Linked DNA regions of Tribolium castaneum. The protein of the gene in region 6 interacts with the protein of the main gene of each other region in a pairwise test. Links are inferred from orthologs where the notes say so. Each region holds a gene or a part of one and is shown on either strand. Other genes may lie near its edges.

Region 1 (4,695 bases), on a different chromosome or scaffold from region 6:
GCTCTCCTTTACCTCAGCTAGTTGCGAGTCCTTCTTCTTTTTACTTCCTCCAAAACAACCAAGATTCTCGCCTAGAATTTTCAGTTAGAGGAGTTTCAATACGCGAAGATACACACCTTTCGAATTCGCGGCGATCCTACTTTGGGTTGGTAGAGGATTCTTATCGTAATTGGGGTCTTCGACTTCCTGGCAACGGTAGGATAGGTTGCGCAAGATACAGACGCAATTCTCGACGATTTTATTGCCTATGTTAGATTTGTCTATGGCACAGCGTACAACAAACAACAACGCATCAACCAGTCCTTCACATTCCCTTAATCTCTTCCTCGCGTATTCACCAGCCGAACTAACATTTCGAAGCACACCTGAAGCGTTTCTGAATACTGTGGACCAGCAAGTTTCCCCGTGGTTTCCTTGCGGGTCCCATCCCGAATGTGGGATTATTATGTAGGTGACGACAGTACTAATCCCATCGTCGATTATATTACGTTTGAGGTCTTCGCATGAGCTCATATTCCATATAACTCCCGTGACGAGTTCTTTGATTTCGGCTTCGTTGGATCTTCTTAGAAGGTTAATTAAGGCGGGGATTCCCCCGGAATTTTTAATAGCTCTTTTGTTTTCGTCGTTTTGTCTTCCGTACGAAAGGTTTCTCAATGCGCCGCATGCATTTCTATAAACTTCTACGCTTTCGTGACTTAATAGTTTAACAAGGGGAGGTATGCCGCCGAGAGCTCTAGTCTTTTGTTTATTGGGGTCATCCATATAACAGAGATGTTGAAGATAGGCCGCTGCATTAGCTTTGATAACATTATTAGGATTATTAAGGAAACCAATGACTTCAGTCAGATTCGGATCGCGCCAACGCATGCCCCTCTGGTCGTCGTCTCCACCTACACTGCCCGGGGACGCCATATTATGGGCCCGGTTGTGTGGCAGGGCCATACTATGTCCATGTAGGGACATTTTGCTCATATGTTTTTGTAATTCTTCGTCCTCGAACATTCGCATGGGGGCTCCGACCGGTACTGGACCGTTTAGACTATCTTCATATGGACGTGAGTCGTAAGTTGGTCCTTGGTGTACAGGGGCGGTGCCGTAGGGTGAAGGTGAGACGTACCCGTAGACGACTCCAGGGTCGTCCTGGTACGGATCTAAGCCTACGATTGGACCCCCAGGCGACGGAGTCACCCTAAAATGTTCAGGCAATTCGTCATAGCCGGAGCTCAAATATTGAACTCCTGGCTGTGCACTTATCGGTATGGGGGAGGGCGCGCCGCTGTGCTCGCTCGGACTAGGGGGCGTCGGGGGGCGCTCGGCCCCCGGGGGGTACCCCATATACGCCCCATACGGGTTAGGGTAGTGCTCGTAGTCTTGATAGTGTGGGTGTTGGTGATATTGCGAATACATATGGTGGGCCGGCTGTTCCATATAATCAACGTACTGACTCCTGGGGTGCCCGGAATGGGGGTACGAGCCCAAGGGCACTGGGATGTACTCTCCCGGTTGAGCTTCTCCGAGCTGTTGCACCTCGCGTACGACTTTGGTCACAGTGGTCACTTGCTGAGTGGTTTGTTGCTTATGTGTGCGTACTAAAGGCTCGTCACTATGAACAGACATATGGCTCGAATTTGGTGAATGTTCTGAATGGCCATTGCTATGCGTATGATAGACTCCTTCGTTTACAGAACTTGAGGCGTCCGAACCCCTGCACACAAACCAGACACAATTATAAGAACGTTACCGATATCTAAAACATTAGAATACTCTCAAAACCGCATGCAGCCAACTTACTTATAATGCTGCATTTCGGGGACCTTCTCTTGCAATACTCGCCTAGAAACAATAAAAATGAGCATGATGAATGACACTTTTGACACGTTTAAACCACCACAAAAACTGGCCCTAAGAGAATTTGGGCCAAGCGCATTTGTGGTAGACATAATTAAGTGATGATTAATAAAAATCCCGAAAGATGAGCGATTCAGTTGCAAATAGAATAAGCAAGATGTGAATGAACCCCCTACCTTTGCGTGATTTCAGTATGTGTGATGCTGTGCTCTTGTCTTTGCTCCACTCGACGATTCACCAGGCTGCCAGTGTAAAAGCAATCAATGTTTTAGCGAAGCGATAACATTTTAATGTCGTGCAAAAACTAAGTCAATAAAAAACACTAATGTTTATTGGAAAATTAGTCAAGATGTTTTATCAGTTGTTTGAAACACTACATTCCAGTAAATGATAAGTACAAGTAAATGATTAGTCGGTTTGTACGCTACTTACAGACAAGAATCCATAAGCTGATTACCAGACATGATGAAAGCTGTTACTTATTTTTTCCTGTGACATACATGCAAACAGACATTAGACATAAGCAACTAAATGAAATCGAACGATTCGAATTATATTCATTTCAAAATAAAATCACAAACATTGAAACAAACATAATTCTAGTGCGCTTTGACACGAGATGTTATGTTAGTGGGTTAAAGTGAAAAGTGATACAATATAACCAAATAAAGACCAAGCACATACCTCTCGAATTATTAAAATCTGTTCAATATTAAACACTGTGCTTTTCTCTTAGCCATTAGGTTGCATTCTGAAAGAAAGCAGCAATAATTAAAACGAGAAATTTGCGATGTAGTACTTCATTTTTGATTTCTCTTTAAATCGCACCATACAATTCGTGGGAAAAATCCTAACGTCGCACCTCCCAATTTTTACTTAATTTTTTTGGTGTCCGTAATAGTCGAAACTGCTCACAAATGAGGTTCTGAAGGATATATTCCGAAACGATTTAAAGGAAAATAAGGAATTGATTTATAAATGACAATAGTTATGTGGTGGGGCGGGGCTAGAGTGTTTACATTCCATGGTTTGTAGTAAAGTGGCGACCTAAAAGCCGCAAATGCATGTTTCCGCAAATTGACTCACGGGACTTGGGGCCACCTTATCTCATGTACTTTATCCGTAAATGCGGTTATTTCCGGCGCAAAACACCTCCGACGTACCTTTCATGTTTTCCTAGAGTCTATAAGGTCGAGGCACACAAGAGGTACAATGGAGAATACGTCACCAGAGAGCCGCCACTACTGTCACTCGTTCGCCGCAAAAATGACCCTTTCGTCACATTTCTTGACTGAGTCCGATGCAAAAAATGAGCCAAACTTAGTTTGAGAACTAATCCGGGCCAAAACTCCCCTTAATTTGCGCTTTTAACAATGAACAGACGACTTCGCTTACGGCACCAGTCAGACATCACTCCCACTCATGATGCATGCTGGGTAACTGCAGCTTTAATCGAAACTTGCATAGGAGTTGAGCGATAACGAAGGGTTTGGGGCGCCCACAGCGACCAAAAACAGGTCCAAAGCATCGCTTGTGGGCCACTAGGACGGGACAAGGCTCGTACGGCGCTAACAATCACCGAAATTTGCAAAATTAATCAATTTAAAATCGCGGTTTGAATAGCGCGCTACAGGTACACCAACCGCTTTAATGACAGGTTGTAGCGTAACCAAGAAATGTGATGACGGTGGTTAGTGGCTCAAAATCGTGTTTTATTCAATTTTAACAAATCTAACGTCTCGTTAGACATGATTGCGATCTGACGGCCCGATTGAAGAATTTTCTGGCACTAATCATCCTCCACACTAATAATGTCGTCGTCAGCTATTTACATTCTCGACGTTAAGGGCAAGGTGAGGGTGTAGAAGGTGCCACAGTGGTCGGACAATTGCGTTTTAGGTCCTTATTTCACGGAACTATCGGGGCGATATAGACTTGGGGGTGATAGAGAAGTTCATGCCTTTACTTATGGAAAAGGAGGAGGAGGGGCTGCTCACCCCTCTGCTCCAAACTGGCGATTGCACCTTTGCCTACATCAAGACAAACAACCTGTACATTGTGAGCACCACCAAGAAGAACGCCAACATTGCGCTAGTTTTCGTTTTCTTGCACAAGATTGTGCAAGTCATGACTGAGTATTTCAAGGAGCTTGAGGAGGAGAGTATTAGGGACAACTTCGTCGTTATTTATGAACTACTGGACGAATTGCTCGATTTCGGTTACCCCCAAACCACTGACAGTAAGATTTTACAAGAGTATATCACACAAGAGGGCCACAAGTTGGAAATACAGCCACGCATTCCCGTTGCTGTAACTAATGCGGTTTCGTGGCGTTCGGAAGGCATCAAGTATAGGAAAAACGAAGTATTTTTAGACGTGATAGAGTCCGTCAATCTCTTAGCTAACGCGAACGGTAACGTCCTACGCAGCGAGATCGTGGGGGCCATCAAAATGAGGGTCTATCTCTCCGGCATGCCTGAACTGCGTCTGGGTCTGAACGATAAAGTATTATTCGAAAGCACCGGTCGCGGAAAATCAAAATCGGTCGAGCTAGAGGACGTCAAATTCCACCAATGTGTCAGACTATCGCGGTTTGAAATCGACAGGACCATATCCTTCATCCCGCCGGACGGCGAATTCGAACTCATGTCCTACCGTTTGAACACACATGTTCGTAACAATCGATTTAACTCCCCAAAATGATCATTTTCTCTAGGTGAAGCCGCTAATTTGGATCGAATCTGTCATCGAACGGCACGCACACAGCCGTGTCGAGTACATGATCAAGGCGAAGTCGCAGTTCAAGCGCCGCTCGACGGCCAACAACGTCGAAATCGTCATTCC
Region 2 (4,196 bases), on a different chromosome or scaffold from region 6:
CATTTTAAGACATGGGATAATTAACACGTCCGTGAATGGAAAAATCATTTTCATGACGAGTTGAACACAAGGCTGGAAAATGAGTGCACGTAATTTTTGCTTGAGTTTATCATTAAGGTTTGAAATAATTTTCCTTATTTTTTATTCACTGGATAATTACAATCACATCGTAAAGTTTTATAGCACATTTTCCTTGGCATTTTGTGAACGATTCTGAAAAAACAATTTAATTCAAGCTGCGCTTAACCGATGTCGCGGCTATTTCGCATTAACTCTTTGTGTCCATTGGCTGCTTATTTAAAAATTTGCCGATTTCTCCCACACATGTTTAAAAATAAGCCAACCTTGCTGATTTATGCACTTAATATTCTGCGTATGTTTTGCTCTAATTTTACGTTGTTTTAATTGAATGGATTATTGTTGCTGGTGTAGTAGTTTTCATCGTACCCCACGTGACGCGGTTCCTTTGTTTATCGATATCGGGTCATTGTTTTAGGCAAGGAGAGCGCAATGAGTCAGTCGTTTGCCAAATTATGCATAGGTTTTGTCCTAAATGACATTGTATTTCAGGCGCTAAAAATAAGAGGGAAGAAGCGGAGGAAAAAACCGAGGAAAAAACAAACTTAAGACTCTTACTATAAATAACATTTTATTGTGGCCTTTTTACATTGTTTAAGCATAATTATCAAAATACAACTCGAATGAAAAACTTATTGTTTTATTTTCCGTCCAAAAAACACACAATTGTACAAATGATCGAAAAATGCATTTTTTTGGAATTTTTTATAAAAGCAGTTAAAAACCCAACCTTGAACAATGTTAATAAGATTTGTTATGTACACCTAAGAGTTAGTTGGGAGGGGACTGTTAATAACACGGAGTATATGGTAGAATTTTCGAATGTAGGAAAAATACAGTCTGTTTTACTTTATTTTTCATTTTTTTAAATAATAATTACAAATAGCCTATGACAACTTTTTAGCCTTTTGATAAAGCGTATCTACTACTTTGCTCATACTTTGTATTGTTTCTAGCGCCATTTCATATGTTTTATCTACAGGAGTTTCTTCGAAAACAATTAAGACACCTAAAAGTCAGAGAATAAACAGTGAGTGGGTTTGACAAATTGCAGTTTTGTTTACCTTCTCCTTGGTCCAAGATGCCGTGAAATTTGGCGTCTAGAATCATCTGCGACAGCTTCTTCTCGACCTGTGGCATGGGCAGCTTTATCGTTTTGGCGACGTAATCGACCTGGACTCGCGAATAAGGCTCAATAATCCGGCAGAGGTTCTGTTCGAGCATATTGTCGTATAACGTCCCGAGATGTGCTCTGACGATGACGTCGTCCTCGAGCTCGTGTTTGAACTGTTTGACGGCCTGCTGGAAGTCGGCGAGCGACCTTTTGTGTGAGGCTTGTGCGACGGCCTTCATGGCATCGATGTCCTTCCCTGCGTACTTGATCGCCAGCTTCCCGCTGACGATCTGCTGCACGTCCTCCGGGTTATTGAGCATGATCTTGGACAAGAGCATGTACTTGAGCGCGGTCAGCGCCTTGGGGGACTCCACGCTGTCGAAGCCCTCGAAGGCCTCGTAGAAGTACGAGTAGGCGGTCTTGAAGTCCTTCTCGTCGGCCGCGTGCAGGATGCCCGACTGGAGGTCCAAGGCGGCCTGCATCTTGGGGGGGCAGTAGATCGCGTTGGCCGTCGTCCTGGCCGAGGTGAGGGCCGCGCGCGCCTTGGGCAGGTTGCTGAGGGCGTGATATGTCTTGCTCTCCAGGAGCTGCACCTCCACGAGGAGGTTCTTGTCGTCGAGCTTCTTCAGCTCCTTGAGGAGCGTGGAGCCGAGCTGGAGGGCCTCCGTGAACATCCCGGTGTCGAAGTAGAGGGCGATGAGGCGCGCCTCGAGGCTCTGTCGCAGGAAGGTCCTGCGCTCCTCCTTGGCCCACTCGATGCACTCCTTGCACAGCTGCACCTCGATCCCGATGCCCGCCTCCAGGTCGAGGAAGAAGTCGACGAGGGAGCGCACCAGTTTCGCCGCCTTCGCCTTGCTTATCATGCTCAGGAAGGGTCGGGTGGCTTTGATCAGCTCGGCGAGTTCCTTGGCCTTACCTTCCTTCTTGTACTGCTCGCCCAGGTTGAGGATGTCTTGTTCTTTACTTTTGATATTTTCTTCGTCATTGTCGGGGTCTTCGCTGGCACGTTTCAGTTTCAGGAGTTTCTCGTGGTTCGAATTTGGAACAGATTGCGCTCTTTCAAACAACATTGCACCCGCCATATTAGTTGTCTAGAAAAGCACTGTCATTCAAACAGACATGTCCGCGAAAATAGACGGCGGTGGCTAAAGTCACAACACCGTGTCAAATATTCACTGTTTCACGCAATTTTGAACGCATTTTGCACCCCAGAGGCCCCAAAGTGACAGTCTGACTTGCAAACACCAATTTTGAAAATTCTTACTGAAACCAACTTGTTTCCAAGCGACTTTTTGTGCCAACAATTGTTTGTTGTATAGTTGATTGCATAACTAACAGCGGCATTTTCCATTATTTAAAATTCACAACCGGATGAAATAACTTCTTGGTAAAGTTTTATGTAATACTGTACAAATACCAGTTCCGGCAACTTTATCGCGTATCCAGAAAACCACGACTTCTAATGAAATAAAATTCTTGAAATTTTGATTGATAATTATTATTTTTTTGTTAATAAATAAAGCCAAGTTTTTTATTTAAAAGGTCTTTTTATTTAAACGCAATCCAAACGCGTGATTTATTAAAAGATAGTAATTTTCTAACAAACCTTTTTACAGTCTCGCAATAAAATTGACAAAAACTGATGCATTCAAATATCTCAACGAAATCTTTTACAATCCTACCCCAGTTACAGTTCATATTGTCTCCTAAATTTACGAGGCCACCAAGTAGCAGTTCATAAAACAAATTTTTAAACAAACAAAGAGTTAAACAGAATAACTAATTGTCTAACTAGGGAAGAAAGACACGATTATAGACCGTTTTTCCTCTTTCAATACTCACAAGCTCAAAATAAGGAAAAGCAAAAGCAAAAAAATACCATTTCCGAACTTATTTGGTATTTTTGCTTTATTTTTGGCAAAATTTTGTTAAATAATTGGATTTGTAATTCAAACTGTTTTTCGAATAAGTGTCGTAGGTATTTTATTGGCTCATTTTTCGTAAAATTTAATGCGTCTTTGGTTGAAAAACTCGCTATAACTTTGGAAAAAAACAACAATCATTATCTAATGCAATGACTTTTAAGTAAGTTCAGTTTCCGTAAAAGTTAATAAACTCTTGAAAAAGGCTAAAACAAGACAACTTCCGATTTGATTTGGTGATTTTTGGTCAGGCTTAACGAAGTCTTGTTGTATAACGCGCTTAAGCTATCGAAAAATGCTAGAATTATATAATTTAAATTCGACTCATATCTTTGTGACGTTCGGCTTATTTTTTACGAAACTTCACGAAATAATTGCGTCTCTGGCGGAAAAACGAGCTGAAACTATAAAAAGGACTAAAGACCTAATTTACAAGAGTTCATTATGATTTAGTTCAAAAACCTTATAAGAAGTAAATGCTGAAATAACCATTTTACACCTGATTTAGGTATTTTTCATATGGTTTCTCGAAATAAGGCTTTTTTGAACGAAGAAACCTGCTAGAACAGTTTAAAATGCTAGAGCAATGCAATTTTTCGCCCCGATTTAGCGAAAAATGTGCTTAAAAACTTTTGAAAACACAAAATCCTGGGTCTGTCAGGTGCCTTTATTGTGTTCTAAGATTTCAAAAGCAAAATGCATAGTCTTGATTGGGATAATTATGTGTGTAATGTGATAAATAAATCCACTTCTATACTAAAAATACTTTATTTCTAAAAATTATGACAAGCACGTATAAAAACACTAAATTTAAGTCAGTATTGAGCAATTCCTAAAATTTGTACAGCACCAGATCATGCCTCGCTTGACTGTCTCACCTCGTCTTCTGACGCCGCTCGAAACCTCGCCGCTAAATTGGTAGCCAATCTACCGATATCTAATCTAAACAAAGAGATATTGTTTACAATTCAAAAAAAAAAAACGCGACTTACTGATGGCGGTTCCCCGGCTTCCTGACTCTTCTACATCTCCCTCTCTTATCCCTGGCATAGCCACTTGCGCATTTACGATAGTGGAGGACT
Region 3 (3,862 bases), on a different chromosome or scaffold from region 6:
TTGAGTAATAAATTTTCAGAAAATATTTAAAAACCGGGTGACTTTTAATGAGTGAAGCAAAAAAATCTAATGGTAACATTGACAAATAAATGTAATAGTCAAAATTGCCAAATTTTTAAAATTTGTAACCAACCTTACAAAAAAATCACAATCATTAGCTTTAAAAGCTACAATTAAAAATGAAAAAATATAGGGTCTTCCATTTAAAAAAACCTAAGTTTGTATTATAGCTCATTTCAGAAACATCCTGTATATTTGAAAATAATTTTAGATGTGGCAGAGGATTAGTATCTACGGTTTAAGAAAAAAAAATTTACTTTTCCAATATTTAGAAGTGAATAATGGACTTTACCAACTCGCTGGGACACCTCTATACTATACTGAAGGGTCTAAAGTGCAGCATTTAATTCCGCTAGCAGAAGGGAATTAGGCACTTTGGTCCCAAGGTATATACGCTATTTTTTGCACTTCCGAGACTAAAATAGTTATCGCACCAAAATACACCTTTTTGGCTCAATTTTGACGAAATTATGCTGAAAAACGGATCTAAAGTACTCCAAAAAGGCTTTTTCTCATTTCCGACCTTTTGATGAGTTCTTTTAGCTCAAAAATGTGCTTAAATGCTGGACTAAGCAGTTTGTCCTTAACCAAATTTCGGAAAATACATTGTGTTTGGACTGTCAAAATATTCGAAAAAAAAAAGAACTATATTTTTAACAAATTTCTTAATTCTCGGCTTTTTTAATGTTTTATATTTTTATTAATTTAAAGTAAAATAGGCTAAAAGAGCTTAGTCGACAATCTCTGACATGCCTCCAAATTACGTTAAATAATAAATAATTAAGTTTGGACAAGAAGTTAGAGAAAATTACAGTTTTCTTTCACTAAAATTTGTCTGAATTCAAAATAAATCTGTCGCAAAGTACTCCGCCTATTATACGAGAACAAATAAAGACAAACAACAAAACCTTGTTTTCTTAAGACTTATACAAAAGCTGAAAAAGTAAGAACCATCTGTATTTTTAAAACAATTTGGCAGTTTTTCGCCTTGTTTTTCCTGAAAATATACTTAAACAATTCAAAAATGTAAAAACGACAATACTTTTGACAAAATTTGGTGATTCTTCGGTCGGTAGTTACATCTGTAACAAGTTCAAATGTTTTTTTGGGTATTTTGTTTATTTAGTGAGCGTAACTATTGAACGTGATTCAGAAATAAACAAATATAGAATCTTGAGGAAAAAATATCAGATTTGCAATTTTTTTTGCTATCTTTTGTTTGCTTCTTACTTTCCTTATTAGTAATTAAATGTTTGGATTTAATCGTTGCAATTTTATTAAAATTCATATTTGTTCTGATTAAACCCAAAAGATAAAAATAATTATCAGTTGTTTTTAAAACTTAAAACAGGTATAAAATACTAGAAGAAGAAAAAGCTAACTTGGTGGTTTTTGGGACAGTTTAACTGAAATCTGGTAAAAATATGCGTAAACGCCTAAACATTGGAAAAAGAAATCTATTCAATTTGACGGTTTCTCAGTTTGTTTTTACCGAAATTCTTGCATTACTATATGACAAACCTGCCAAAACCATTTTATTTTATGAATTTTTAGTGTTTATTTTTTTAACTAATTGTAGGTAAAGTTTTTGAAAAAAATTACGTAAATTACAGTTTCCTGTAATTAAGGTCATCTAAATTCGAAGTATTCCGTTAGCGTTAGCAAATTGATAAATATTTTGTATTTTTTTACAATCTGTTCGTAAGTAAATGAAGTAGATTCCTGTTTTAAAAATAATGACTTACCGCTTCCGCTGAGTACAGACTCCTCCCGATTATACCCATAGACCGTATTTTCGCTAGCCGTATAAAACGGCATTGGCATGTATTCCAACGGATTATACGTCCCACTATACGGCATATAATTCGGTACATTTGGCAAAGGTCCAACCGAATCCGTATCCCCTTGTATTTTCAAATTATTCATCGCCGAACACAAATCTCCGAAAATATAATAACATTGTTCCGAAAACGTTATTTTATTCACTGTATGTCTTATAAATCCGGCTTTGAGTAAATGTGACGCGTATTTACGAGCGTCGCGACGCTCCTGAAAGCCGTCAACATGCGTCAACAACCAATCGATCATATCTGTACCGATAAACGCATTCGGTATTGTTATTTTCAACCACATACGATCGCGGATTTCTAAACCGCTATCGGGCCGTTGCATGGCTTGAACCACCGTCGCCATGGGCGTATTCACCGTCAGGGGCTCTTCCAAATCGGGGAAACCTTCAATTACAAAAAAAATTAAAAAAAAATTACAGACACCTGTAAAACATACGTTCGTTTGCCGGAATTGTACTCGTGATAGAAGTACTCGAAACGGTCGAACTACTCGGGGGCCGCGCCACCGGGTCGCCGCGCACAGCCGCCGTGTGCGCCACCCACGCCCCTAAAAAAATATGAAAAATGTTTTTTATTAGTTTTTATATTTACTTTGCGTTTATAATACGTTTATTAACGTCTATCACTGGTTAAAATCCACAAACTAAAAATATTTTTATTATGCACAGGCTGTTGTATACAGGGTAGTGAACCAAAGTTATATTTTTTTTAAATGGAACACTCTATATAATTTTTATAATTGAAATCTACGCAAAAAAATACTGTAACTTTATATAAACTATTATGAGTCTATTTTTTCGTTCTGGAATTATTTAACTTTTCGTTATAAAAAAGACCAATTTCTCAAAAATCAATGCAAAGTCGCTTATGAATATTTTCCGGCAAATTTGCAACAGAAAAATTCAGAATACCTTGTAGTTTTAGCAAAGAGACGACTTTTAGTTAAAACATGCAGATAATATACAGAGTGTGCCAAACGCAAAAAGTTGAATAAATCTTTTTTTCAAATGGAACTTCCTGTATTTTTTTCATGTATTGATAGCATTTTTGATAAGCTTTCTAACAGTATAAGGTTTGCATAGCAAATTTAAAATATTTCTCGAGATTTAAAAAAAAAGATTTTATTACAAGAAAATTTGTTATCCTAGAATCTAAGTCAAATGATAATTTATTTTTTGATATGTATAAATGTAACCAATTATATTAGTAACCTAATTAGTACTTGATAAATAAATGAATTTTACTCATCAAGAATTAATAATAAAATAAATAAAAAAAGAGAAAAAAACACTTTAAGAAATATTTCAAATTTGCTATTCAAGCCGCATATCATTAGAAAGCTTATGAAAAATGCTATCGATACGTGTAATGAAATACATGGTGTTCCATTAAAAAAATTAGTTATTCAACGTTCTGCGTTTCGGCACACCCTGTACATTATCTACATGTTTCAAGTAAAAGTCGACTATTGCTAAAACTACAGGGTATTCTGAGTTTTTCTGTTGCAAATTTTTCGGTAAATATTCATAAGCGACTTCGCAGCAATTTTTCAAAAATTGGTCTTTTTTATAACGAAAAGTTATAAATCGATTACGTACCCTGTATACTAATTTTAAATACAGTGGGGTCCGGATATAACAAATTGCACTATAAGCGGTAAATTGAAAAGTGTTTATTAGTAGTTATTTTTATTTTACATATGAAATAAAACGAAATAAATAAGTACTTATTGTAAAAAAAACATGAATCCTTTGGGAAACAGTAATAGAGGTTGATTCAAAATGTTGTTGCATAATTTGAATCACAAAAATTCCTCTACAAATGATAATAAATCTAATGGTTTTTGTTGGCCTGTCTCACTTAATAGAAAAATTACAGCTTTCCAAAAAGTCGGTATGAAAAATAATTTTTGGAGAATATCTTCCTTATTGATTATCCAATTATTAAACTTG
Region 4 (4,614 bases), on a different chromosome or scaffold from region 6:
TAATCGCAGAGACAGGGTGTCCATAGAGTTGAAAACTTGACCCCGAAAGAGAGTATCTCCAACAGACAGATCGCGGTGACCCCAGACGAGTAAAACAAACAACGCTATCACTCCTCACAGCCGCCTTGCTCCACAATGCAGCAGCGTTCCAACCAATTTTCCGACATTCGCGAATTCAAACAAATCATCAAAAAAATTTATTTCAGCAGCAAAACCAACAAATTCACTATCAAAAAAACTCAAATCACTACATTACAGTGAAAAATATTCGTCGGGGAATACAATGGTTTATTTACTAAAATATGTACCGGCATTTTGTTTGTTTAAAAAAAATTAAAACCCCCTATGACAGAAAACTCGTTTTGTTGTGGTATATACGAGGGTGGTTCAAAAAAACACCCCCTACAAAATCATTGACAAATTTTCGAAATAACACTTTTAATTATGATTCCGCTTTCCCACGCTGGAAATGGCGACAAATTAGTTATGACAGTGGATGTTAATTATTTTCGGAGACGTCCGCTTTATGGCCACTAAAACGGAGATACTTGATGGAAATTAAAATTCAGTAGCCGGCGGTTTAGTGTTTCTCATCAAAAGCTTTTTTCGGTGTTTTAAATTCGAATAAATTTCCTGTTCTACGACTGCTGGAGATATGGAGAGTGACGCAACTGTCAAATTTCACGTTTCAGCGCCATATGTCATGCATGATTTGCATTTTTTCACCGTTACCACCTTCTAGGGCCGATGCTAATTTGGATTAATTGACTTTTGCTTTTTTATTTATTTATTAAAATTAATTAGAGTGATTCACACAAAAGATTTCTACGCCAAATAACACCCGATTAAGCTATTACATAAACTGTTTAAATAGTACGTTTTATCAAAAACAGCTTAAACTTATAAATATTTATTAGAACGATGGCTGTGTGAATTATATGAATCAGGCGGTGTTACGCTAATTTCGACTTATATTTAAATTATAGCCTTATTAGTTCGTGCATTTGCTGGTTTAGAAGTACAAGAATTCGGAGCGAAAACAGGCAAAACCAGTGTCAATTGAAGATAAATAAAAATTCTTCTTAAAGAAGATTATTTCACCTTCTTTGGCCACAAAAGAAACACACAAAAGGCAGAATGCTAAATCTTGACAAATTTGCTTTCTAATGCCAGACAATGACCAACCCTCCCATAGAGAGGACATGTTCACTCTCACTGGGGTGTTTGCCAGGCAAAGCTTGCCTCAAATATACAACAACATTAACTACTCGTACAATTCCAAAAATCAAGATATTTAAAATATTCTAATTTGCAATAAAAATCTTAATTCCATATTTTATCGACGTTTAAGTCAATTACGGTTAATTTTAAGTACTCATAAAAATAATTTATGGGTTAGTCAATAAAATAATAGTAAAAAAATTAAATTGTTTGATTTTATTAATAGTAAAAATTAATCCTGTTATTTGTTAGATGGAAAACGGTATTTTTGTTGCTTAAGGTGGGACAATTTTTAAAGCTATTTCTCGTTTATTCACATTTTTCTTGGAAAAAAGCAAAAAATGTTTTCGATCAAAGTAACCCGTGACAGTTTAAATTTTGTAAATTTTTTCTGAGAATTAGCAGATAATTATTTAAAAAAATTAATTCTTTACTTGTTCTTGAATAACAAACGCCAGCTTATGTTTCTTAAGGTGAAACCTGGCCTATTTTCTCTGACTGAATATTTTAATTTTGTAACTTAATATTAACTTGTTCTTTTTAAGAGAGAAAAGTTATTTTAATTGATGAACAAACTTTCTCACTCTGACAACTTTTTTAATTATTCAAAAACTATAAGTATACAGAGTGTTCAATTAACTCCTAATCATAGTAGCCTGTGACTATTAAAAATGTATGACATTTGTCCAATTTTCACAATGTTGCTAACTTCCAAAGTTACAAACCAATCAATAATAAAAAAATTGTTTTTGTTTTGACTACTTAACATTTTGAAATTAATTTTTTTGTCTGTTTTTAGGAAAAAAAAATTGTTTTGTTCTTGTGACATACCAATTTCAATTCCAAAAAATGTAGTACCTAGTTAGGTATACAGGGTGTTCATCATAGTTTCTTATCAAAGTGACCTGTGACTTCTGGTTTAAGTTGGCAGTGCCTGACCGGAAATTTAATAAAAAAAATATGTATAGTAAAACAAATGATTTGAGGTTCTTGGTTTCGGAATATCCCACCATCGACCTTCAACTGTCTTTAATCCCATCCGTACCATCACAAACCCATAACTTTCGGTAATTAATGGCGACCTTCTACCTGATAATAATAGAGTCAATTTGGCTACTTAATACCCGACTTTTTTGCAAAAAAACTACAATTTTTGATTCGATTCGTCCATGGCCTGCTTCCTCAACCGCTGGTTAAAAATCCCATCACATATGACATAAATATTAAAATCGAAGTTGGCTCATTTACGCTCCATAAATGGCAGCATTCCTAATTTGTCCAGAGCAGGCTATGTTTTTTGATCCAAATGTCAAAATAGTTTTTGTTCGAGCATGGACGACTAGATTTAATGAGGTTGTAATTGTAGGTACGTCTTAACGAGAAACAATTTCATTTCATGAATGAAAAACTCACTCTTCGAGACCGGTTCAACAAATATAGAATAAATGGAGGTAATAAGAAAGTCAAAAAAGTAAACATAAAACTGAGGAAAAGATCCGTCGGGTGTGCTTTGGGCTTCCAGGGCCTACCGCCACTTACCCAATGCATCCCGGGCGTGTGAGAAGCTCTTTCTTCAAACACTCCCATCTGCAGTGACGGCAGACCCGGTGACGTTTCGTACTTTTCCGAAGCTTCTTCCGTCACTGCGCCTTCAACAACCCCCACAGACACAACCCTTAACCCAACACTGTGGCCACTGTCACATCAACCAAAAAAAAAAATTTAAAACAATGTCACATCACTCGCTACGTCACTGGTAATTGAATAGTTCCCGCACACCCGGTACCGACTTAGTGCCGTAAACAAACACTTGTGTAAAAAAATCGCTGCGCATGTCACTCGATTTACATCACTATATTACAACGTCCAAGAGTGCGTGTGTAATAGCGTTACACACTTGTTTTGAGCGTCCGCGCACTCAGACGGATCGCAGGCGGCTGGTCTCTTGCGCATGTGAGAAGGCGAAAAGTTTAAGCCCCGCCTTAGGGTAAAGGGTGGGGTTAGCGGGGAGTGGAAGGGAGGTGCTGTCCTATAAGCGAAGCCTTCGTATTTGTTTATGTTGGAGACAAATGCAAGGGATGCGATTGTCACGAGGGTGGGGGTGGAGTGGTAATTATAGCGCGAGCAAGCCTGATGATGAGTTCATTTGTTTGCGGTTTCATGAATGGAGTTGTAGGGATTTTTACGACTTTGTTAGTTTTATCGCGTTGGCGGTAATTGGAGGTTTTGTTCTGGTGAGATAGCAGTTGTCAGCGGTGGTTTACATATCACATTTTATGGAGAATGCACTTAATCATTTTGATATGCGATAAAGCGGGTTTGTAAGACATCCAAGTGGAAGATAAAGGTGTTACAGGTTGGTACATACGTAAATGATGGAAAAAATGAAAAATTGTTATGATAGGTCGGCTAGAAGACAGATGAAGCTTTCAAGTCTAATTAAATAAAGTAAAAAACAAATTTATTCCAAAAATTGGTTTATCTTTTTGGAACGCTACTAAAGTAGACTGAGTGTCTCCAATAAATTTTGTTATCTTTATCTAAGCATAATAAGAACATAAAAACACTTAGACAATGATAAGAAAGACATTAGGAGTAAATAGTGTTACTTACCTACTATGAACCAATAAAGAAACGGAACTGCATTGTCAAAATTATCCAAAAAAATATTGGTATACAAATATATTTTTGAATTTATACTAAAACACTAAAATACCTGAAAACAATTTGCTTTCGTTTAAAGTGAAATGAATTAAATTGTATAAAACCATTATAGTCATTATAGTAGAAATAAAAATTCAAATTTTAGCTAAAAATTTCAAAAATTGAAATGTTTCATAAGTACCATTAATACTGGCTTAAAAAACTGTAAAATGAAATATGTTTCAAGACGATATACTGAAAAAAAAATTCAATGTTGTAAGTAGAGGAGACCGGGGATAGTTAACTATAGGGGCTAATTGCCTATAACTACCTATCTACATATTACGCCGATTACAGCGAATCTAAAAAGAGCTAGAACAAAACGTTTTACTTAATCGTAAAGAACACTTTAAAATAGAGTATAAGTTTTAATAATATTTCTTGTAACACTTTAAAAATTTGTATTGTTTTTATGTTTTTCAACAAAACAAATTTAATAAAAATCTATGTGAAATGATTCGAGGAATCGACAGCCGTTGAGAAATTCGCCATATTTCTAATATTTTTTGAGTTATATTTTTTATGTCGAACAAAATCTTGGATAAATAAAAAAACAAACTTATTAAATTTTATTTTATTTTTAACAACTTAAGAGAATTGTAAAGGCATAGAAAACTCCATAAAACTTTGGTGGAGTGAGTTTTTAAAACAAAAATTTTTTATTTTTGTGAAATCGCCTAAAAAATACGT
Region 5 (4,602 bases), on a different chromosome or scaffold from region 6:
GTTTCTAGCTCCAGATTTTTTAAGCGGTACGCTATGTCAATAAAACTAAATAAGCATCTGTTTGTAAATACTGTAAATGCTTTACACCTGCTGCAAACTTTAAAGCTCTTTGCCTTTATTTTATTATTATTATTATATTATTTATACTTAAAATCTATTCCAATTTTCTTGAGTGATAAACTGACAGTACTGTACAGGATGTTGCATTTTGGATGGGCGAATAGGCTCCAAAACTAAGAGGTTTAGAGAAAAACGCGTGACACATTCTCGGGTCCTTTTTTTGAGAGAATCATTTTGGTCAAAACCGCATTTCGCTATCGTCTTTTGTTTTCGACTTATAAACAAAAGTTGACATTTTAGTGAAATCTTAAAAAAAAAACATCTTCCTTATTATAAAAGATACACATTTAAAACAAAGACATTATACAGGCACTTTTTGCCAAAGAATTTAATAATGTTATCAGCAATTTTTTTTAATCATTCGTTTAGCTGTAATAACATAAAGTTGTATTTTTTTTAAATGAGAATCATAGTTGACTATGACATTTTTGAAAAGCTTATTTTTTTCTGATTTGATATGTCTATTTGTCTTATTGTTTTCTGAACTCAAAACAACATAAATATAGTGAGATATTTTTATATATTTTTGATAAAAAAAATTTAAATTTTTTAAAGTAGTTGGCCATGGAAAAATTATTTCACATAAAAGGTGTGAATAATCTAGAAAGTTTGTGAACGGTTTTTAAAGTAAAAAATGTGAAATTATCAAAATAAGCTATGTTAAAGTTATTTTCAATTGAATAAATATACGAGCGTCGCAGATTTTAATTACATAAAAAATGTACAGAAAATAGCAAACGATATGTCACTACCATTTGATGTCACTTTTTTATGATTTAGTAAAGTGCAATGGAGGTGACATTGATAATGTTGTATATTTTTTTACTGCAGGTGGAATTTGATTTTGGAGTTTGAATTGTCATTTTTTTGTAAAATAAAATTTTATTGATGCGCAATCATAAGATTTTTCTTCTTCCGTCATTGCATGTTTAAAATTTGAAAATATGTAGAAATACAACGTAAGCTTGCCATTTTATATAAAAACAAATAATTTTTATTAATTGCAAAAATTTGATCTAATAAAAATTTATTATGCTGTTTTTGAATTAATTAGGGTTTAAAAAATCATCAAATTATAATTACTGTTAGGTAATACAATTTTCATAGTTTTAATTACAAATCCAAAATTTTTTCATGGCCAACTATAAAGAAAAAGCGAAATGTTTTGTTTTTTCTTAATTATTTAAATTTAACGTATGACACAAATAGACATTAAATCAGAAAAAAATAAGCTTTTCGAAAATGTCATTGCCAACTATGATTCCTATTTAAAAAAAATATAACTTTATGTTATTACAGTTAAACGAATGGTTGAAAAAAATCGCTGATAACATTATTAGATTCTCTGAAAAAAAGTGCCTGTATAATGTATTTTTTTCAAATGTGTATCTTTTATAATAAGGAAGATATGATTTTTTTAAGATTTCGCTAAAATGTCAACTTCTGTTGAGATTTAAAATTATTTTCTCAAAAAACGAAGGCTGGTTTCCAGTGAGCAAAGGCGTTTATTAATCGGTGTTTCAATTTTCAATAGAATTTTTCGCTTTCGTAACACATTTGTTCATTAAAATGCGTTTTGTACTTTCTCATCATTTACATCACGTTATTTGATTACTCATCGAGCATAACACAAACTTGAAATTTAAACAGGACATTCAACTCAGTCTTCCCTTATTGATAAGAGAATCGATCAGTTGATAAAAATGAATTATCGTTTCTCGGTGAATTACCGGGAATTAAATTACATCTATAAAACTGTCCAAACTAATCCAACCTGTTATAAAACAATGTACAATCAAATGCAATAAAATTGTCCAAACATGGCAACTTGTCACATTTTTTCGATATCTATCAACTTCGACAAAAATGGTGAGGTGGATGAATCACCAGCCAAACGCAATGTTGGTACATTTCCGGCTTAATTAATATTTCACAAATGTTGAATGTAAAAGCCGGTGACATTTTTGACGCATTTTTTGTTAACTGTTGACAAAGTAAAAAAACTAATTTCGTCGTTGCAATAATTTAAGTTCAAGGACTTGACGACATACGAAACTGTCAACAGTTTGTGTTTGTTTGTGATAACACCATCGACTTTGTTTACTTTCTATTTTGTAAAATTAAAAATTGAATAACTTTAGTTGCATTTAAATTTTAAAACAAGTAGGCCATTGTATCGACAATTTCACTCCTTCTGACTGTACTTATTAGTGATTTTTAAATGCCAACTGTGTAACGTAAAACGTAAAAAATTCACCGTTTGTATTAAAAATTGACGCGATGAAAAATTTAGGCAAGAACTCTCCCGTTTTTACGTCTCGCCGTTTCGTGAGCGAACAAATAATTCAATAAAATGTTTACCCCCCAAACCCCCTAAATTTCGCAGTCAAGTTACCCGCCCCCGACGTGCATCTTTTGTTGGTAATTTCGGTAAATCCTCATTCTTCTCTGCGATTATCGATTGGCATTCGCCGCCGCCGTCGCGCTGCCACCCCCGACCCCTGTGCAGGCCGCCCTCAAAAATCAATCCCGTTTTAAAAATGCAGCGTAAAATTCCGCCGCAAATGGGACAAGGTCGGGGGCAGAATCCGCCACCCCCATCACGTGACGCACGTGCAAAACCGGAAGTTACGCAATAGGCAGTGGGCCGGTGTCGCGAAAATTCTGACATTTGGCTTTTTTCCGGCGGGGGCTGCGGGGCCGGGCGCCGATCGATGAGTCACCCGCGCGGAATGCACACGGGGGCGCAGCCCCGCCGCCGCCCGGGCGCGGGGCACCCCCGCGGCGGAAAATGGAGGAGCGTCCCGAGATGATGGCCGTTTGGGCCGGGAGGAGGCCGAATCGGGGGGAAATATACGCACCATCGTAACGTTCGGCCTGTTCTGCCAATTTCGCCTTGTAGACGTTATCCTCCCGTTCAGACATTTTGCGATGATTATCGATAGAAATTTCACAACACTAAAAAACACAGACACTCAACGTACTGCCAATATGGCCGCGCCCGCCACACTAAACCCGAACGCGATCGGACGCACATCGGCTGCCTCCGGCCCACGTCACAATGGCGCCAAATTGAATAAATAATTATTTAATCCTGCTTATCTTTCACACACTGCATGCCACAATAATTAAATTATGCGTCCTAATGGACAGCATTCGATTGACAATAAGGGACTGTTTTTAGAAGCGTCGTTTCCAGATCAGGGGAATTGGACCAATCAGATGCTCAGATTTACGAACTAATGCCAGTTTAAATTTTAATCACTGATTAGAAGACGCTTTACGGCTACTTTGGTGTTAACTGAGTGTGTTTATACAGAAGTAGAGCAAAAATAACAATTTAGGCCACTTAAAAATACAGATAAAAAATTTATGCACAAATAGGGGATTTCCGAAACTAAAAGGTTTAGAGAAAAACAAGACACATTTTCCGGTCCGCTTTTTGAGAAAATAATTTTGGTCAAAACCGCATCTCGCTATAGTTTTTTGTTTTCGACTTATAAACAAAAGTTGATATTTTGGCCAAATGTTAAAAAATTTATATCTTCCTTATTATAAAATATAGACATTTGAAACAAAGACGTTATATGGCTTTTTTTTATAGAGAATTTAATTATGGTATCAGTGAATTTTTTTAATAAATCGTTTAGCTGTAATAACATAAAGTTGTATTTCTTTAAATAGAAATCATAGTTGGCTATGACATTTTCGAAAAGCTTATTTTTTTTTAAACTGAAAATAATATAAATACAGTTTGATATTTTTATATATTTTTGATAAAAAATATATTTAAAATATTTGAAAGCAGTTGGCCATGGAAAAATTATTTCACATAAAAGGTGTGAATAATCTAGAAATTTTGTGAACGGTTATTAAAGTAAAAAAATGTGAAATTATGAAAATAATCTATGTTTAAGTTATTTCCAATTGAACAAATAATACGATCGTTGCAGAATTTAATACATAAAAAAGCAAAAAAATTGAAAACAATGTGTCACTACCATTTGATGACTTAGTGAAGTGCAATGTAGTATTTTTTTACCGCAGATGAGATTTAATTTTGGTGTTTGGATTGAGATTTTTTTGTAAAATAAAATAATAATAAATAAATAAAATTTATTATATTATATATTGACAGGCAATCATACAATTAATAAGATTTTTTTTCCGACATTACTGTAAAGAAAAAGCGAAATCTTGTTATTTTTTAATATGTAAAAATAATGTGTTACACAAATAGACATATCAAATCAGAAAAAATAAACTTCAAAAATATCACAGCCTCCTATGATTCCAATTTAAAAAATAAAACTGTTATTACAGCTAAACGAATGTTAAAAAAATCGCTGATAACATTATTAAATTCTCTGTAAAAAAATTAATCTGTGCTCTGAGCTTAGTTCTTCAAAATTTATTAGAATGCGCTAAAATTGGCAAAAACAAAAAAATAAGTCTTGCCATAAAAAAATTATAAAAAGTTCT
Region 6 (4,945 bases):
CACCCACTAAGACGACGCTTTAAAATTAGCCCTTTTTGACTGCCGTTTCCGGAAACGGCAAAAATCGATGCGGTTTCATGTGGAGGCAAGAAGGCGCGTTCGTCCGAAAGCAACCCCCGTCGGGTGCATTTTCGTCCACCTATGAATCATTCTCACTTGGCCGTTTATCAGTTTCAGATCGGTGCCGATTTCGTCACAGTCGAACGAGAAACAGTGAAACATCCCCGAATGAGACACCTGACCTACGCTAATACCTTGGTGGAAGAAACAAGCAAATGTTTTTGGTGCGGTCCGTAGCGAGCAAAATACAAAAGGGGGTGTAACTGACTGGGCCACGGTAATACGTCATCGCTCATCCGGACTGAGTCCGGCACAATTCGGGACAAGTCCGGGACTCCGGCGCGGTAGACGAAGGAATTATCATGTGAATGAGGAAATATACAGAGTGGAACGCTCTCAAAGTCTTATACGAAAAATAAGGAAGCGCTCATATTGAATGGCACTTTTTGAACAGGCGAGGGTCGGCCCCTTGTACCTGACGGACCCCTCTGGTTAAATTATGAAAGTGGATGAGGGCGCCATCTGAGTGACGTGCCCAACACTATGGGATCATGTTACAGTTGCCAATTTTTTTTAGTCAGGAAAAATTTGAAAAATTTTGGTACTTTTCCCATTTCCGTCCTGTTATGTTAATAAAATGAAATAAAATAAAAGAACGTTGTAGCTTTATGCAAATTTTGCGAATTTATGATGTTGTTATAGAAGATTGAACTTTGACATACGAGTTTCTCTAATAAATAAAATCCGTCGGAATCATCTCCGAACACGCTTTTAATCGTCCTCCCTGTATAGCGCGATAACATAAGTGTAGTAGATCGTGCGTTGGCGGCAATAGCGCTAATAAATCAAACTATAAATAAAAACAATTTAAGCAATCGGCGGCCCGTGAAAACCACAGCCGCTTCTTCAATCAATAATTCTTCAGCGACGTTGTAGTAATTTCGAAAAGATATACCTTTGAACATTAGAGTTCGCCATCAACTCATTACTCTCCAGCGTATGAATAGAGCGTCTCGCAATAACGACCGAACGAAATTTTTTGTCGGCTCGTTAGCGATGTCCTCCCGAAATATGAAACGACCTTAACCAAATTATATTCCATTGACCCAAGACTTGAGAATTACGAACGCCGAACTCAAAACACGGATTATTTTGGTCAAAGCGGACGATTTTTTTACGGGAATATAGGACGTGCTCATTTCAAAGGCGTCTAGACGGCCAAATAGGCGAACAGCTGATCGTCCCTCGTGCTCTGACAAGGACCCGATTTGTTCGACGAGGACGAGAACAGAGAAATTCGACTGAGGGACAGAGATGTGGCAATTCAACCCTGATTTTACACGCACTTGACTTCGCTGCAGGTTCAACATTTACATAACTTTGAGGTGCGGACATCGCGCGCACGGGCCAAAGGGCAACAATTAGCACAAAAAATTTTGTTTATTCAAATTTATTTTATTTTGCAATAGATAATTAAGTAGTTCCAGCGGCAATAAATAAGGCACAAATTATGAATGACAAATCATTGAAAAAATAAACAAAATTTATGGTGTTGTACGTCGGCAACTTTAACATTCCCAAATAAATTACTAATTTAACGTACTTTACTATCGACTGAAATTATATAAAATTTTAATTTTAGAAAATAGAGGAAGCAGACGACGAAGATGAATCACAAATAATAAAATAAAACGGTTCGTCATATTGTGCCAAGAAATTTATTTTTGAATCAAAGAATACCCACCAGAAATTTAGGAAAAATAGATACAGATAAATAATTTATTTAATCATTAATATAAATCATTTTCCGGACGACTAGAAAGATATTCAGTTAAAAAATCGTTTACAAACTTACTAAAAATCTGTTTTTCGGCAAAACTATTTAGAACATTTATTATGTAAAAAGTTCGTTTCTTAATTAATTATTATTAACTATTATTTTTTTAATGGAGATATAAATAAAAAAAGTCGTAACTAAACATACTGTCTTTAAATATAACTAGTTAATAAAATCGTAACTTGAACCGTGGTGGTCCAAAAAGTAGGTACAATAAAAACCCGGAAACAAACAGTTTGCTCGAAATTTTTAAAAAAATCTCCCGCCAAAAAAATTTATTCTTGACTTTTGATTCGCACTATGTGTTTAGAAACGACTATTATTTTCACGTTTGGTATTTTGAAATGACATTTTTTTAGTGTCACAGCAATGAATGAAACATTTTTGGTTTGTGCTTTTGAAATGTTACAGTGTGGTGCACGTTTGAACGGCGTGCGATTCGGCCGGAGTTAGCGCGTTTCCTGCAAATAGCGTCCGCAGCAGGAGTCCGTAGGCTTAGACCTATCACCAACCTGCAATGGCCATCCAGGGGTAAAACGTGTGGTTGGTCTGCTGGTGTATCTGCGTGCCAACGGGCTGCGAAGAGGTCGAGTTGATACTGCAGGGGTTATTCCACGAGAGCGAGTTGCCCGTCCGTCCTGCGGCCGCCCCCGGACTCGAGGCCGGATCTCCGCCGACGAGCCCGACCGACCCGTAGCCAACCCTGGAGTCCGGCGTGCATGCCGCCGGCCTGACCGGCCCCGTCAAACTGTTCGTGAGATTAGCGCCACCGCCAGAAGTCGCACTTTGCCAAACGTCCTTGACCGCGGCCGCCGCCACCACCGAGGCGTATCCGTTCTGGTCGGCGTTGCCTTTGGAGCAGTCCGGCTTCGAGTTGGAGGAGTAGTTGGAGTTCTGCTGGCCCTCGGAGGAGTAGAGCTTGCAGGCGGCCGCCACCGAGGCGTCGTACGGCGAGTCCTGCGGGGGCCGCGCCTGCAGGTGGTGGTGGTGGTGCTGGCTGGAGGCGTACGGGGACATGCCGAGCGACAGCGGGAAGGAGCGGTAGGCCGCCGCCGCCGCCGCCGACTGCTCGTGGTGGTGGCCCGCCACCGACCCGCTCTGGTGGTGGTGGCTGCCGTAGAAGCCGCTCTGCTCGAAGTAAGAGTTCATGCTGGGGGCGGCACAAGTCACTCGACACCGGAACCGGACATGACAGTCACACGATTATTATTATTGTTATTAGCGAGAGTGATAAGGTGATAAGAGCTCGCACGAGCACACCACACAGCAGCTCGCTCCGGAATGCACACGTTGGCTACTTTGCTCGCGGATGGGAACCCACTGGAGCTCCGGAGTCTGCTCCGGCCCACACATCCCGGCCCATCGCTCCCCTCTCCCCCCACTCCGGACGAGCACGCGGCTCATTATTGCAGCTACCTGTATTGTCGGCCGATCGGACACGGTCGCACCTAATTAGCGCCTGACCGGCTTCTCCAAAGGCTAGGTTTCCTCCAGAAGGGTCGCGAAGGCCGTAATAACCCCTAGAGCACGTGCTTCTACACGAAGACGCTCTAATGGAAGGGATCATACATGAACCAATAGCAATTGAATTCGTCACAGCCTTCAAGCATTGCGCAAGTGGCCCCCAACGAGACGAAGAGGGGAGGCGCGTGGCGCCAGCTCTCGGACAATTGCTCAACCTTTCAAAACGACACTCTTGCCGAAACGAGCAACATCAATTGCCAATAAAAGATAAAACGACCATCACACCACCAATATAAACAAAATCATCGAAAAGTAAACGCTACATTTAAAATACTCTGATTCCGCTGCCAAACCCTCAATATATTCACCGTTAAAGTACAAAAAGGAAAGCTTATTTTATTTATTATTTTTTTGCATTCTGCATCACAATTTTAATGTCTATTTGGTTTGTTAAAACAATTAAATTCACAATTTCTAAAAACAGTACGTAATTTTATATTAATATTCAACTAAAACAGTAAGATTTATTGACGACGGGTAGATAAGATCTTGTTCTGTAACTTTTCATCGCACTTGATTTTTTAGGCAACAAATCAGACTCCAACCGCTAAACAAGTTAAAATCAAAGAAACACTCCATTTTTTTAAATGTTTTTAGGCTGTATAAAGAGCGGTATGCATTCAGCCCTTTGTTACTGCTTCAGGTACCTATTAAAACATTCTCGCTTTTTTGACTTCATCTTACACTGTACCATGTCGGTATAAAAACCAAAGCTAAAGTTAATTGTTGCTCATTTTCGAGTAAGGGTTTTAATATACTACCTTAATGTACCTACTTTTCTGTGTTCCCAAAATACAATAAACTTAAATTGCATTTGAATGAATGTGCTTTTGTAAATTTTACTGCCCGAAAAACATTCAAACTAATAAAACTAAATTATTTTGGACCGTTTTTTCTTCGTGCACATACCTAATCCAAATCAAATCTCATCGAAAAATACTCGTACCCCATTCCAAACGGATTAATTAGTTCAAAAAAATTATAGAAGTGTCTCTACTGGAATTATTCTAACTACAAAAATCTCCCAACAATAGTAGATCTAGGATCTAGGTATGTATAAATATTTTCTTCAAACAAATAAAAACAAATAATAATGTAATAAATTTCTATTCAGTAAACAGTAAAATTATTAACAACCAATAATAATTTAATGTTATCCTGATAATAGGTAGTATATACTACAATGAGTCGTCAATAACAAAATAGGAAAAAGCCCGTCCGGGTGTTTAAATAAATCCCTTTTGCTCTTATCCTCTTGTCGTTACTGAATGGTTGAGGTTCCGAGGGCGGGGACGGAAAAAGGCCAGATTATTACAGTTTACACAAACCAGTAGTAAAAATTTTACGGCATTGGCACGCTCCTGGCACTTTATGGAGTGGCGGTGTCATAATTTTGCCATGGTCGTAGGTGACATTTACGATCACTCAAATCGTAATAAAATCAACTTTTATTGCTGTCTTACCTCCTTGCATATTGAAAGTGCCGAACTTGACACTTTCCAAACACTTCTCGACATAAGGATG
Region 7 (4,358 bases), about 690 kb from region 6:
GTGCATGTCATAAGTTATTTATCAAGTTTTTTCTTGTTTCATTAAATAGTCACGGCTACAAGTTTGCGAGAGATTGGCTGTTTTTTGACGGTGAATTAGACTCGTAACGTTTGAGTTATTTTTATGAACGCTTGCAACGATGTGGTCGTCATCGTTAGTGGTCGTTAATGCTTGTAGGTGCAAGAGAGACGACTCCACGACCATCATTAACGATAACCATCGCGCCTGCCACAGTCCTCTCCAAAGACAAATGAAGGTGCGAGCTGACAGCGAGCCCATTTAGTCGGGAAGTCGTAATTATAAGGCGTGGTGGTAGAAAAAGGTGATGGGGCATCGTCTAAGCACCGTTAACCAAACAAGGATGAAGGCGGCTTGTCCGATTCGACTTTTTTAATGTTTCAGGAGATTGGTTATTAAGATTTCAGTTTAATTAATAACCAACACCTTCCTACTAGAATAAATAACCTTCTTCACTATTTTATTGTCAGACTTTTTCAACATGCCTATCCACATTATTACCAAAATTACAAAACCAAAAAATATTTAATAGCACCCAACGACCACTTTAGTAGTTTATTATCGTAAATAACAAGTTTGGTACAACATTTAGGCCCACAACAACGCAATCACCGAAGGTGGAAGGTGGAAGGTGGATCGCTACTTTTTTTGTTACTCGATTTTGTCTTCAAGAAGACAGTATATGCTCTACTAGGCAACCAAGTTCGATCTAAAAAAGACAATTACCTACATATTGGTCTCACCTAATTTCAGCTTATTTGTTTTTTGCTTTTTTAGTTATGTGTGTCGAAAACTGACGGGTTTCCAAATTGATATTTATCGAACTTGTTAAATCTCGTGTTATGTCGAAATTGTTAAGCGAAGGAAGAACAACAATCTGTCAGGTGTTGTTAATTAATTATACGTCGGGTTTTTATCGAAAGGAAATAAAACACCATTTAAATTAATTAAAAAAATATATTTACGACTCGTTATAAAGGAGGCAAACATCCATTCAAATGAGATATTATTTTTAAATTATGTAGCTAATTAACAGTGATTTCTAATGGGTTTGCTACGACTATTATTAATAGAAGCCGACGTGTTTATCGGCAAATCTGTCAGGTCGATGATGAAAGGCGTGAAATGATTTATGACGTTATTAGGTAATATCCTTGGTGAGAATTCGATTGTTCTCAAAAGGCGTCTCCTAATTAGCCCCTGAGATTTTAACGTTTTCTCCAACTAGTGTTTGCGATAGCATCAAGCATAGATAAAATGTATCTTGACAAGTTTATAAAAGTTATGACAGCTGGAGTAGACGGAACCATAAAATAAATAAAGCTCAACCGTATTTTACGACCGACAGGTTGTAATAACTTCGCAGTGAACTGCGCCACCATCCATCCGTCATCATTGTGCTTTTGGTTTGTTGTTCATTTCCCGTATTTCGTTCGCTACTGCCTGTTTAAGGGCGGCTAACATCAAAGCATCCAGAAGGTCTGTCGTCGTCACCAACTTCATGGGTGGTAGAAACCGACAGGCCAGAAACGTGGCTGTATTAGCGCTTTGTCATGCTAGGACTTTCAGCAGGGCTGCAAAGCCTGGAGGGGCTGCCAAACCTGCGCAATAGCCTCTCGTTTAGAGAGCGGAGCTCTGTTGCCTTCAGACTTTCATACTGGAGTTGTCCGTCGTGTGAAAGCTAGTTTGCGCTCGTGTTCCGTCAGTTTATTAATCGTGTAATTGTTTTTATCCGCCGTAAACGTGCATTTATTCCAAATGGTTGTGTTGGAGGGTGGAGGCATGCTGTCAACGTCCGGAAATCAATATTTGCAGCCGGATTACCTATCACCGTTACCCACTACGGTAAGAGCGCTATTTGCTAACACTGAATCCTTGGTTGAATGCAAATTTATTTTTCAGTTGGATGCTAAGAAAAGTCCGTTGGCACTCCTCGCCCAAACATGCAGTCAAATAGGAGCAGACACTCCATCGTCCAAGCCTTTGATTTCTCCATTGGAGAAACCAAAGAAGTCGCAAGAGAATTCGACGCGTTCGCCTCCGGTAAAAAACGATAAGAGTGCTCAAAGAAACACACCGACTGAAAATAAGCTCGCTTTTAAACCATATGAAAATAATGTTGTTACGAAAAAAAGCGAAGACAACCGGCCTAACTCTAAATCAGGATCCACTCATCAAAATTCGACACCAAGTGACGAGAAGAAATCAGAAACGCAAAGTCCTGAACGGAAGTCAGTGTCACCAGCAACCAGCACCGCTGCGACACCGGCCCCCGAAACAGGGAAAACTTCTCCAGGTTCGAGTGAAAACAAATCTTCAACTCCGTCGGCTCGTGGTGCAAGCCCCATCATCAGATCCGGTCTGGAAATTCTGCAAGGACATCCGAAGGATACACCTTTGGGGGCGTACAAACACGGTGCTTTATCGTCCGGGTTATCGTCAGGACTGAACGGCCCTTTGGGATCGCTGTGTTGTCCTCCCGGACTCGAACACACGAATCCGGCTTTTAGGCCCCCGTTTCCCGGAGCTCCGTTTTCGCACCACCATGCCGCCATGCTCGCTGCCGGCTATCCGGGAGCCACTCCGGGACCGTACTTGAGTTACGCGCGTGTCAAAACTCCATCAGGTGGTGAAGCTTTAGTTCCAGTGTGTAAAGACCCTTATTGCACCAGTTGCCAATTCAGCATGCACAATCAGCAGTTGTTGATGAGTGGAGCATCTGGCCCTTGTCCCAGTGGCTGCACGCAATGCGACCACCAGAAGTATAATTTGGCCATGGCGATGTCGTTAGTGCCCCCGGGTCCCGTGCCGCCGTCGTCACTTGCTTACCCTCAGCTGGGACGGCCATATGTGTGTAATTGGATAGCGGGGGACACCTACTGCGGGAAGAGGTTCGTCACATCTGAAGAACTGTTGCAACATTTGAGAACACACACGAGTGGGTCTGACGGGTCGGCGGCGGTGACGTCCTCGGCATCGCCTTTACTTAACCCCCATTCGTTGTTCTCGTCGGCGGCGTCGCTCCATAGGCCTGGGTACCCCAATCCTCCACTTAGCCCGTTATCGGCAGCGAGGTATCACCCGTATGGGAAACCCACTCTACCTACCTCTTTGGGAGCTTCGCCATACAGTGCTTTTAATCCGACGGCTCTTGGAGCTTATTACTCTCCGTATTCCGTTTACGGACAACGGCTTGGCGCTGCTGCTGTGCATCCATAGTGATACTTGTAGTAATTTTTCTCATGTTTTGACTCATACAGAATGGCGTCTGTATCGGTCTGTTTGCTCCACTGTGATAACGTGTAAATAATTTTGTCGAAGCTAAAGCTGATTAAAATTAAGTGCAATCTGAAGCGGACTTAATCATAGGGCAATAAGTTATAAAACAGTCCATTTTCTTTCTAAGTTGTTCTCCCGTTTCAACGATACTTTAATCTTTAAATAATTCAATAAAAATATTTGTATAGACTTGTAAGTATTTAATGTTGAGTTTCGATATTGCTTTAATAAAATGTTTGTAGAACGATTGTTGTTATTTTATTTCATTCTCGTGGGGGGAGGAGTAGGGCGCAGGTGAATTGACGGTGCTGGCAGATGGGTGTGAAAGCCGCAATGATGGATTGCCGGCAAGTGACCTTCCCTTGGCATCTCCAATCTCTTGTGTATGATGGATCACCTGAGCACGTCACGAGCTCATTCATCATCGTGTCTTGAGGGTGACGGGCTTGCACGCCACTGCCTACTAATTGAAACCCGTACATTTCGAAATATACCACTTTCTATCAATAAATACATTATCGTCGTCTCCACAAGTTTGTTTTTGTACAGATAACAAACCGTAAAACGTTCATCAAATGACTATATTTCTTTCAAGTGAATCCGTTAACACAGAGGACGTGTTGCTAGACGGTATTGCTTGAGAGATTTACACTGTAACAGGTGTCACTTAAATGAACGAGTTGTTGGAATCGAAACAAACTTAGAAGTGGCAGCGGCCAAATTTTTATAGCACGGAGAAGGATGATCCAATGCCTGTCTGACGAATTGAATGCTAAGAGATTATTATTACTCCGTGTAACTGATTGACAATGGCAGTTCATACTTGTTCTGGGACTTGTGCCAAATGAGCAAAGTGAGTGACAAGATCTGTTGGCATTTGGCTGAAGGAGGTGGCGCTTGTCCAAAATAAACTGTTGGTATTTTTTCAAATAAATCATGTTTCAGAAACTTATTTTTCATTAAATTATAAATGTTATAAATCCGCGCTTTAGCTCTATTTTCAAGTGCGCATAAAACTGTTTGCGGTAAAGAAAGTTTAAAAAATCGCCCGAAACGACTTT

Evidence for each region.
Region 1: the proteins of Ubx (region 6) and catenin delta-2 interact in a two-hybrid assay, tested with the Drosophila melanogaster proteins (2 studies listed by BioGRID). The link is inferred for Tribolium castaneum from reciprocal best matches to the Drosophila melanogaster genes Ubx and p120ctn.
Region 2: the proteins of Ubx (region 6) and Rpn6 interact in a two-hybrid assay, tested with the Drosophila melanogaster proteins (2 studies listed by BioGRID). The link is inferred for Tribolium castaneum from reciprocal best matches to the Drosophila melanogaster genes Ubx and Rpn6.
Region 3: the proteins of Ubx (region 6) and dsh interact in a two-hybrid assay, tested with the Drosophila melanogaster proteins (2 studies listed by BioGRID). The link is inferred for Tribolium castaneum from reciprocal best matches to the Drosophila melanogaster genes Ubx and dsh.
Region 4: the proteins of Ubx (region 6) and apterous a interact in a protein complementation assay, tested with the Drosophila melanogaster proteins (2 studies listed by BioGRID). The link is inferred for Tribolium castaneum from reciprocal best matches to the Drosophila melanogaster genes Ubx and ap.
Region 5: the proteins of Ubx (region 6) and 14-3-3epsilon interact in a two-hybrid assay, tested with the Drosophila melanogaster proteins (2 studies listed by BioGRID). The link is inferred for Tribolium castaneum from reciprocal best matches to the Drosophila melanogaster genes Ubx and 14-3-3epsilon.
Region 7: the proteins of Ubx (region 6) and noc interact in a two-hybrid assay, tested with the Drosophila melanogaster proteins (2 studies listed by BioGRID, with this or other methods). The link is inferred for Tribolium castaneum from reciprocal best matches to the Drosophila melanogaster genes Ubx and noc.

The regions. Positions count from the first base shown.
Region 1 is NC_087403.1:4,512,009-4,516,703, reverse strand, and holds the start of catenin delta-2, read right to left. Parts: upstream 3,303-4,695; 5' UTR 3,015-3,302; intron 2,603-3,014; 5' UTR 2,536-2,602; intron 2,341-2,535; 5' UTR 2,316-2,340; coding exon 2,284-2,315; intron 2,094-2,283; coding exon 2,028-2,093; intron 1,837-2,027; coding exon 1,795-1,836; intron 1,709-1,794; coding exon 117-1,708; intron 72-116; coding exon 1-71. Other genes in the region: AP-1mu (AP-1 complex subunit mu-1), read left to right, coding at 3,663-3,704, 3,751-4,521, 4,568-4,695.
Region 2 is NC_087395.1:22,742,077-22,746,272, reverse strand, and holds Rpn6 (26S proteasome non-ATPase regulatory subunit 11), read right to left. Parts: upstream 2,444-4,196; 5' UTR 2,275-2,443; coding exon 1,143-2,274; intron 1,088-1,142; coding exon 966-1,087; 3' UTR 631-965; downstream 1-630. Other genes in the region: uncharacterized protein LOC103314281, read left to right, coding at 571-627; uncharacterized protein LOC103314280, read right to left, coding at 3,969-4,056, 4,107-4,196.
Region 3 is NC_087401.1:8,569,167-8,573,028, reverse strand, and holds part of dsh (segment polarity protein dishevelled homolog DVL-3), read right to left. Parts: intron 2,458-3,862; coding exon 2,347-2,457; intron 2,295-2,346; coding exon 1,806-2,294; intron 1-1,805.
Region 4 is NC_087394.1:3,057,587-3,062,200, reverse strand, and holds the start of apterous a, read right to left. Parts: upstream 2,984-4,614; 5' UTR 2,809-2,983; coding exon 2,761-2,808; intron 1-2,760. UniProt on the Drosophila melanogaster protein: Required for the normal development of the wing and halter imaginal disks.
Region 5 is NC_087401.1:11,228,862-11,233,463, forward strand, and holds the start of 14-3-3epsilon (14-3-3 protein epsilon), read right to left. Parts: upstream 3,149-4,602; 5' UTR 3,046-3,148; coding exon 2,982-3,045; intron 1-2,981. UniProt on the Drosophila melanogaster protein: Positively regulates Ras-mediated pathways. Acts downstream or parallel to Raf, but upstream of nuclear factors in Ras signaling. Three mutants have been isolated, that suppress the rough eye phenotype caused by mutated Ras1 (sev-Ras1 v12).
Region 6 is NC_087397.1:7,100,641-7,105,585, forward strand, and holds the start of Ubx (ultrabithorax), read right to left. Parts: upstream 3,047-4,945; coding exon 2,410-3,046; intron 1-2,409. UniProt on the Drosophila melanogaster protein: Sequence-specific transcription factor which is part of a developmental regulatory system that provides cells with specific positional identities on the anterior-posterior axis. Binds the consensus region 5'-TTAAT[GT][GA]-3'.
Region 7 is NC_087397.1:7,793,653-7,798,010, forward strand, and holds noc (zinc finger protein Noc), read left to right. Parts: upstream 1-1,625; 5' UTR 1,626-1,776; coding exon 1,777-1,863; intron 1,864-1,920; coding exon 1,921-3,237; 3' UTR 3,238-3,545; downstream 3,546-4,358. UniProt on the Drosophila melanogaster protein: May negatively regulate Notch-induced cell proliferation in the eye-head primordium. Required for development of the supraesophageal ganglion and ocelli.